Linked DNA regions of Danio rerio. The protein of the gene in region 1 purifies or fractionates together with the protein of each later gene. This does not show direct contact. Links are inferred from orthologs where the notes say so. Each region holds a gene or a part of one and is shown on either strand. Other genes may lie near its edges.

The links.
Region 2: the proteins of nek2 (region 1) and anapc1 purify together in Homo sapiens (affinity purification with mass spectrometry; 3 studies listed by BioGRID and IntAct, with this or other methods). This does not show direct contact. The link is inferred for Danio rerio from reciprocal best matches to the Homo sapiens genes NEK2 and ANAPC1.

Annotation. Positions count from the first base shown.
Region 1 is NC_133195.1:15,127,356-15,131,259, reverse strand, and holds part of nek2 (serine/threonine-protein kinase Nek2), read right to left. Parts: intron 3,682-3,904; coding exon 3,459-3,681; intron 1,161-3,458; coding exon 1,106-1,160; intron 949-1,105; coding exon 872-948; intron 156-871; coding exon 1-155. UniProt on the Homo sapiens protein: Protein kinase which is involved in the control of centrosome separation and bipolar spindle formation in mitotic cells and chromatin condensation in meiotic cells.
Region 2 is NC_133188.1:50,698,392-50,702,929, reverse strand, and holds the start of anapc1 (anaphase-promoting complex subunit 1), read right to left. Parts: upstream 2,927-4,538; 5' UTR 2,744-2,926; intron 1-2,743. UniProt on the Homo sapiens protein: Component of the anaphase promoting complex/cyclosome (APC/C), a cell cycle-regulated E3 ubiquitin ligase that controls progression through mitosis and the G1 phase of the cell cycle.

The DNA of each region.
Region 1 (3,904 bases):
CTCCTCCTCTCCGAGTGTCTGTATGCGCTTGTTCATCAGCTGGTGTCTCTTCTCAAGGATGTGCTCCTGAGGTTTCATGATCAGTCTGCCGTTCTCCTTCCCGTCTCCTGCAAAGTGAACCCTCTTTTTCCCTGGAGAGATGTTCTCTTCATTCTCTGTTGAAACGCAAAATGAGAATTTTCATTCGTTTTCGAAAAACCACATATAGTTAATTGTTTCCCTCTCATTATAATATCTGTGGCTCAAACAATGATGACTCAAGGGGCTACTTAAATTTCAGCTGAGTCATGTTTTTAGTGGTTATTGCACACTGCCTTTCCACTGCACACTTCACTCCTTAGCTCCCTTTTAGCATTTGCTTATTTTATTAGGCGCTCATTTATCATACTATATATTATTGCTCCCAAATAGTTGTTCAAATCAATGGAGAATGGTCAGTTTAATGCATCCTTGAACAACTAAAACAGAAATGTCTGATAAGAATTTATTTCTGTTCTTGTTATCTAATCTTTCGAATGAACCTTTAGTGTCCTTAAAAACAACAACAACAACAACAACCATTTCTGAAGGATCATGTGATGATAAAGACAGAAGTAATGATGCTGAAATAAAACGTTCACAAATCACATGAATAAGAAAATGACATTGAATATTTCAAATGGAAAACAGCTACTTTAAACACTTATATTTCATGATGTTTATTGTATTTTTGTAGCCTTGGTCTTTGTAGATCATATACTTCATCTAAAAATCTCTATTACAAACTAACCAGTAGTGTACATAATAAAAATATCAGCCATTTATACATTAACAGAAAGCTGTGCAGTGAAGGAAACCAGTGAGATGCATAAACAACACAAAAGATTAATACCTGTGTCGCTGGCGCTGAGCAGAGATAGCGCCCTCTGCTGTCGGATCAGATTAAACGCCTTCAACATGCTCTCGGCTCTGTCGTACACACACATACCCATAATAATGAATTTATCAACACCGTATACACGTGTAGTAGTATTCAAGGTTTTTGATGCTCACTACTAATGTTAGCTACTAATATCTATTACACTCACATGATCAAATTAGCAAAAGCTAGCTTTATATTATTTACCTGACCAGCTTTTCATTAGTTTGCTGTTCTCGGACACACAGTTCTTGTTCCCTTTCTGCAAAAAATAAAAAAATAATTAAAAAAATAATAAAAACAAGGTAAACCATTAGACACCAAAAGCATAGAATTTCTTAACTAAAGGTTCACCTAAAAACAAACAAAAAAATCCTTTAGACTTTTGTTCTTCAACACTCCAACACAAATAAAGCTATTTTAATGCAATCTGATGTTCAGTCCAACAAAACACCTTACAAAAATATATATGAACCTAATCATTAAATGTGCCGAGAAAGGCTTTTGTATACTGTTTGACAATCTCAACTGAAAAATGAAGAGAAGGTGGGACATAATGGCCAATGGTGTTTTGTTTTGATCACAGCTAATCCAGTGAGAGTGATTAAGCGCATCAAATGAAAAGCAAACGAGAAGCGTCTTGAAGGGGGCAGGCCGGCATGACAGATACTAGAGAGCATTTGATTGGTGAAGATCTGATGAGTAACTGAAGTATGAGGTGACATGATAAAAACGTTGATGCATTTAGGCTGCGGTGACACTTCAAGCTTTGTATGTTTATATCAAATTAACATTTTTAAAGGAAAACTATGTCACTGTTTGGAGAACAATAGCTAATTGATGTCCTTAAAACTAACTAACAACTAAAAAACTTTTTTTGTTTCACAGGACCTTTAAAGTCTCCTGAAGACACACTTGAATAGATTTATTTGGGGATATTAATTCCATTTAAACATCGATGGATTTACTGTAGCACATCAAATATGGTCAAACTCAAATCTGCTCACCTGACAGACAACAAATCTAGACAAATCTAACAAAAGTCTTCAGTTGTGTGAGGAGGATCAAAATTCTTGTGGGTTTGATTAATGAGTGAAATGAAAAAAAGTTAATTAGTGGGTAAATTAGGACAATTAATATTTTTAGATGTAGCATTTGATAACAGCAAGTAAATGATAATGATCCATTTCAAAATGAAAATCTTTAATTTTTCCAAAACCACAGGGCTTTTATTTGTCTTCTGAAAAGAAATTAAGTTACTTATGGATTCTGCCAATTTCCGTTCCTTCATTGAAAGTCCACTGGTAACACTTTATTTTGATGGTTTAATTTATTTTGATGGTCCGGTCTGATTAATATCTGTTGATACTGCTCCTTCAACATAGATTTTACTGACTATATAAGAAACTTTGCTAGTACATGTCAACTTACCCTAACCCCAACCTAACAGTCTACTAGGAATGCACCGATACCATTTTTTGGAAACGATCCGATCCTGATACTAAAACTGAGTATCGATCGATACAGACCCAATCCCGATACTGTGCCGTATTTTTTATGTATTTTTTTAAAACCTAATACAGTTTCTATAGTTCTGGGGCTCAAATAATGTATCTTCCTTAGTAAAAATAACAGACCTGTAAGTCTACTGTATATAGTAGATGGCACAATCTAAAACTTGATGCTGATCTGTTGTGGTCCAGCTTATGTTTCCTTTTTTAATATTAGGCTTTTTCTTTGAAATCTGTACTAGGCTACCATTATTGACCCTGATTGATGGTAAAATAAACTGTCTTTTAGCAAACCCTGATATTTTCCTGCAGGTTTAAAGCAGAATAAACTAAACTGTCTGAGTTTTACTTGGTAAACATTCCTTCGCCTAAACTTGCCACGAGTGAGATGGTAAAAGTATCTCACAAACAAAAATATAGAAACACTGGAGTGTCTTAAAGCCGTAAAGATTAGTCGATTGCCAGTTTGTGTTTGCACTCGGTAAACATCAGTGAACAGCAGTGAACTGATGACCTTTACGGCCAATCACAGTCATTTATGTTGAGCACTAGTGAACACTAATGGCAAATCAGCTGCGTTTAAGAACATTCTAGCACTTCTATTAGCTGGAAATTTAAATCCTTAAAATTTTTTCACTGTCAAAATTCAGTATTGTGATAGGTCTGATACAGTGAAAGAATTAGTTCATCAACTTTATTTTTAGTATCCATTCAGAACAGACCTTCAGGTCACTCGAAAGGGGGTGAAATAATAAATTCGTGTCACTTTCTCTTCGCTCATAAGATTTACAGCCAGCTACACAACATCTCTGTGCAGCTCCAGGCAATACTTTTGGGTTTCTTCCCACCGCAGCCTCGATTTTGCTTTTAAAATGGAGACTGTGTGAAAACAGTCTATGGGCATTTTTTGAAACATTCCTGAAAAGATCTAACAAAGGAAAGTAACAAATGTTGGATTGGAACAAGTGGAGGATGAGTAAATCATAACACAAATAAAATGGTTTGAACTGTCCCTTTAGCTTTCAGAAGGCCAACAACAGTGTGCTTACGCTCTAGCCGCTGCTCTCGCTCTTTGAGGGCCTGCTCTCGCTCTCGGAGAATCTGCTCTTTAAGCCGCAGCTCTGCCAGAAGTGGTGACTCTGGATGTTTGGGCTGCTCTGCCTCATCTGATCTGCGCCGCTGTTTCTCCTGGAGCCTCTTCTGCTCGAGGGCCACGTAACCGGAGATCAAACCATTCTGCAGGATGGACTCCACAGAGGGCCTCAGATAGTCCTGACAAAAAAAAAAAAAGACCACCAGTCAGGATGTGCCCAAACACATTCTGCAATATATAGTAGTCAACATCTGAAGTAAAAATACATGCTAACGATGTGTTAAACATGTTTCAAACATTCAGCCAATGTATGAAAATGGTAATTATATGCTAAAACATGCAGGCAGACATCCTCAGAGCAATCTGTTTGATAATCTTAAATTAAAATGTGCTATAAAGTTG
Region 2 (4,538 bases), on another chromosome or scaffold:
ATAATAGAAATGCAGAATATGTGACTTTTTTTTAAAGCAATAATACATTAATGCAGTCATAAACATGTTTTGACAGTTAATATGCCAGTGATTTGATGCTTCACAAAAGTTGCAGACACCTTTACCAATATGAAAATGCTTTTGTAAACAACCAGTTATTCTTTACACCGATTAAAAAAACTGCTACTATAATAAAGAAAATCTTTTCTAAATGAAGAACTAAATACATTGATTTGCATGGAAATACATGATGAATACTCTTGTCCTGACAAATGAAAGTGTAAAGCAGCTCATAACAAATGTGGAAAGTCCTTGCGTGTCATATTTCACAAACCGTTTACTGCTAATTTGATGTAATTTTGCTCACATGGATAATTGAATATTAATCAGATGATGTCATTACGCTGCTGTGCCGTCAGCCAATCGTTGCATTGCTGATCATGATTTCGAGGATCGATAGATCTGTCCTTCATAACACACGCAGCGATCTCAGATCAGTTCATCCAGACATTCTAATCTGATTCGCGAACTTGTTTGAAGAACCAAATTAGCGAGAGATCAGATATCAAGATTAAAAGATCCAGGATCTGCCAAATCATCTTAGATCATTTAAGCGAGGTACGAAGAACGGACCCCAGGGTGGACATTTCAGCAAGACAATGATCCAAAACACAGCTGAGAAACTCTCAAATGCTTTCAGAGAAAGAAAATCAAGCTGTAGAATGGCCCAGCCAATCACCTGACTTGAATCCGATAGAAAATACAGAAAAAAGGTCAGATTTGACAATCGAGACCCACAGAACCATCAAGAATTTCACACTCTGTTGAAGTCTGTGAGAAAACTCACACCTGAGCAATGCATGCGACTTTATTTTCCATATGAGAGACGTCTTTAAGCTGCCATCACTAAAACATCTTTATATAAAGCATTAAATACATTTCAGTAGTTCAGCACTTTCTCCTTGTGTCATTTCATTGTTATTACAGATAACTCATTTATCAGATTGTTTTGTTTAATTTTTATGTTTGTATTATTTGGGTTATAATCAAAATCTACTTCAATTCCATGTCAACAGCTCCTTTAGAAATATTATTACTAGGAAAAAAACAGGATGTGTTCAATGCTTATTTTCCCCAACTGTATATTCATTTTTGTTTCCTTTTTTAATAAAGCTATCAAAATGTGGATTAAACAATACCTACCCTTGTTTTAGGACAACTTGGATTAACTTTGCTGATCTGCTTCAAATGTTGACTATAGTTCCAATAAGAAAATTTTATTATATATTTAAAACATTTTCCAAGTGATGTTTAACAGAGCAAGAACTTTCCATCTGAAGAAAGTCGTATTCCTTTTAGTTCGGCTGGATTGAAAATACACATCTTTTCTTAATGTAAAAACTTTAGCCACATTACAAAACTAAAATTTGATTGTCTACAGCAGGGGTCACCAATCTCGGTCCTGGAGGGCCGGTGTCCCTGCAGGGTCTAGCTCCAACTTCCTCAACACACCTGCCTGGATGATTCAAGTATACCTAGTAAGACCTTGATTAGCTTGTTCAGGTGTGTTTGATTAGGGTTGGAGGTAAAATCTGCAGGACACCGGCCCTCCAGGAACAAGTTTGGTGACCACTGGTCTACAGAATAAACCATGGTTATCCAGTGATTTGCCTAGTTAACCTAATTAACGCAGTTAAGCCTTTAAATTGCAGTTTAAGCTGAATAATACTGTTACAAAATAACTACTAAAATAATATGCAGTCATCACAACAAAAACAAAAAAATTAGCTATTAAAACTATTATGATAGGGGAAAAAAAGTTTTAAAAAGATTTTTACCCCGTTTAACAACACTTGATTGGAAAATTATTCATTTCGTAGGTGGGATAATATATTTTATACAACTGTACATATATAATCATTATTACAATACATTACAAAAAATATACTGCCAAATATTCATGCCTGCACAGCCTGTCTGCTCAAATATCTGTCACATATATGTCTGTCATATATTAGGGTTACTTTTGTCAATCTATCAGACTGATGTAAAGTTTATACTCGCACATTTGTTCAGTTCAGAAGATTTTGAACACGGTCCCTATATCAGAGATGCCCAAACTAGGGCCCGCAGGCAAAAGGTGGCCCCCCATCCATTTATAGAAGAGAGGCAGTTTTTTTGGGGGTAGTTTGTTTTAATGTTAAACTACAAAACAGCAAACTGAAACTAAATGTTTCAACCAAATGTTGTAAATGAATCTGATTTAAAAAGATATACTGTCACTGATGGATAGAAGACAATGCAAAGACATCAGTAACAATGATGTACTGATAGACATTGGCAGCTAATGTAATTTCCCTTTTGAGAATTACCAAAGAATACTTTTCTGAAAATTATATTGAAATGGTAAAAGTCTGAATATAAACCCTAATTTAGCTCAATATCTGTCAGTATGTACTTGCACATCAACTGTTCACGCAATTTCATAAGTAACGTTAAAAAATACGACATTAAGAGACAATTCAATTCATTATCGTTCGCCAAATAACGTTAGCAGATATATTTATGATGTGCGATTAACCCTTTCAATAAATCAGTAAGTAAAAACATAGATAACACTGTACATGAGCTCTTTTTCTGATGATAATTATATGTAAAACTTCATGATAAACCCGGTCTGTCATGCTGTCAGCATTAGCCGCGGCGCTACAGCTAAGTTAGCAACATCCGCTCCGATATTCACCTGATAATAACAAATAGTCGATCTTCCAGTCCTGGAGTGCGGTCCTTCCCTTTAACAGATGCTTCTCCCTCTGCAATCTCCTGCTCACTTGGAGAAACGTACAAACTCATCAAAGTATGCGGTGAAAAGCAAACCGAGCACACTATTCTGTTTCAAATGAACGCGGACATGTTGTTATCCCGTGACGCACGTCCGGGTGTCTGACCAATCGGAGAGCTGCGTCCAGGAAGCGCGTGAAAGCAGGCAGGTTTTACGCGGGGTTTTTTTGGGGTTATTTTATATTCTAAATATTTTGTTGATATTTGATATTCATAAATGTACATGTTTCAAGATTTCCCCAAAAATTCAAAAAATTGTGATATATTTGAAGACAATAAGAGAGATAAAAGATAATTAATTTGTGGGCTTCAACTGCCCTGCTACTTATTTTGCTTTGTTTATTATTTATTTTATTTGTTCATTTTTGTTATTGTATTTATTTATATATGTTGTATTATTATTTGGGACAACACAGTGGCTCAGTGTCACCTCACGGCAAGAAGGTCGCTGGTTCAAGCTTCGGCTGGGTCAGTTGGCATTTATATGTGGAGTTTGCATGTTCTCCTCATGTTGGCGTGGGTTTCCTCCGGGTGCTCTGGTTTCCCCACCGTCCAAACACATGCACTATAGGGGAATTACCAACTTACGTCACAAGGGTTTAACCGCGCATAGTGGTTGCAAAAAAGGACCAGCTGCAATAGCAAACATGTCGATTTGTGCAATAGGATACCAAATTTGTAAGTCCAAAAATAGAAAACGTAACTTTTACTGTACACCACACTGCTTTTAACCGCAGATGTTATTGGCTAACAGCCATTATAAGAGCTGAATGGAGTGAGGACCTAATTAAAAATGCGTGACTCTGCAGTTCTCATTTCCTATCAGGTAAGTTCACGCTATTATGAATTATACACATTACTCGTTTTTGATTGCAGCAATGATTTCAGCAAAATCGGTTATATATGGTGAATTTAACTGCGGACATTGAATGCTTAGAATGAAATGTAAACATGTGCATTCACATACTCTGCCGTACAGGTGAAGTTCGCTGTCAGAATGCAGTAGTTTTGCTTGTTGATGATTACCCAGGCCCTGTACAGCTCCGTCTTCTTTCCTTGTCTTTGGCTAGGCAGAACCTCGGTTTTTAGCACTACATAGTTTTGAATCTGGTAATCATGGATCATTATTTCTAGCACATGACCACACAGAACAACGTTGTAGGCATCCAAAGACTTGTAGGCCTTTACCTTTAACTCTCTTGTAAAATCACCTGGGGCCTCATGTATCAACGCTGCGTACGCACAAAAACTTTGCGTACGCCAGGTTTCACGCTCAGAATCGCTCACGTTTGGATTTACTAACAATGAACTGAACGTGGGAATGTGCGCAGCTTCACGGCAGCTTTCTGGCTGGCGTACGCACATTTTTTGTGCGTGTCTGTTTTATTTCCATTGGCGACTCCTAGAGGCAGTTGTGTTAAATTCTTCTCTACAAAGTGTCTAAGCCTTGCAATGGGAGCTGTATGAGACGGGTTCAGCAGGTATATAAGGTTTCCATACCATACAGTTGACCAGCCAAACATTAAAGCACAATTTGCAGCAGTCGCCTGTTTTCCCAATGTAATCTGAGCGATCTACTGCACGCACATTGCTATAAAGACACTATCTGAAGATGAATTTGCATGCGTGAATCAGAAACATTTCCATTCAATAAATGTGCAAATAAAATATGATGCTTATTGATATGAACTTATTGA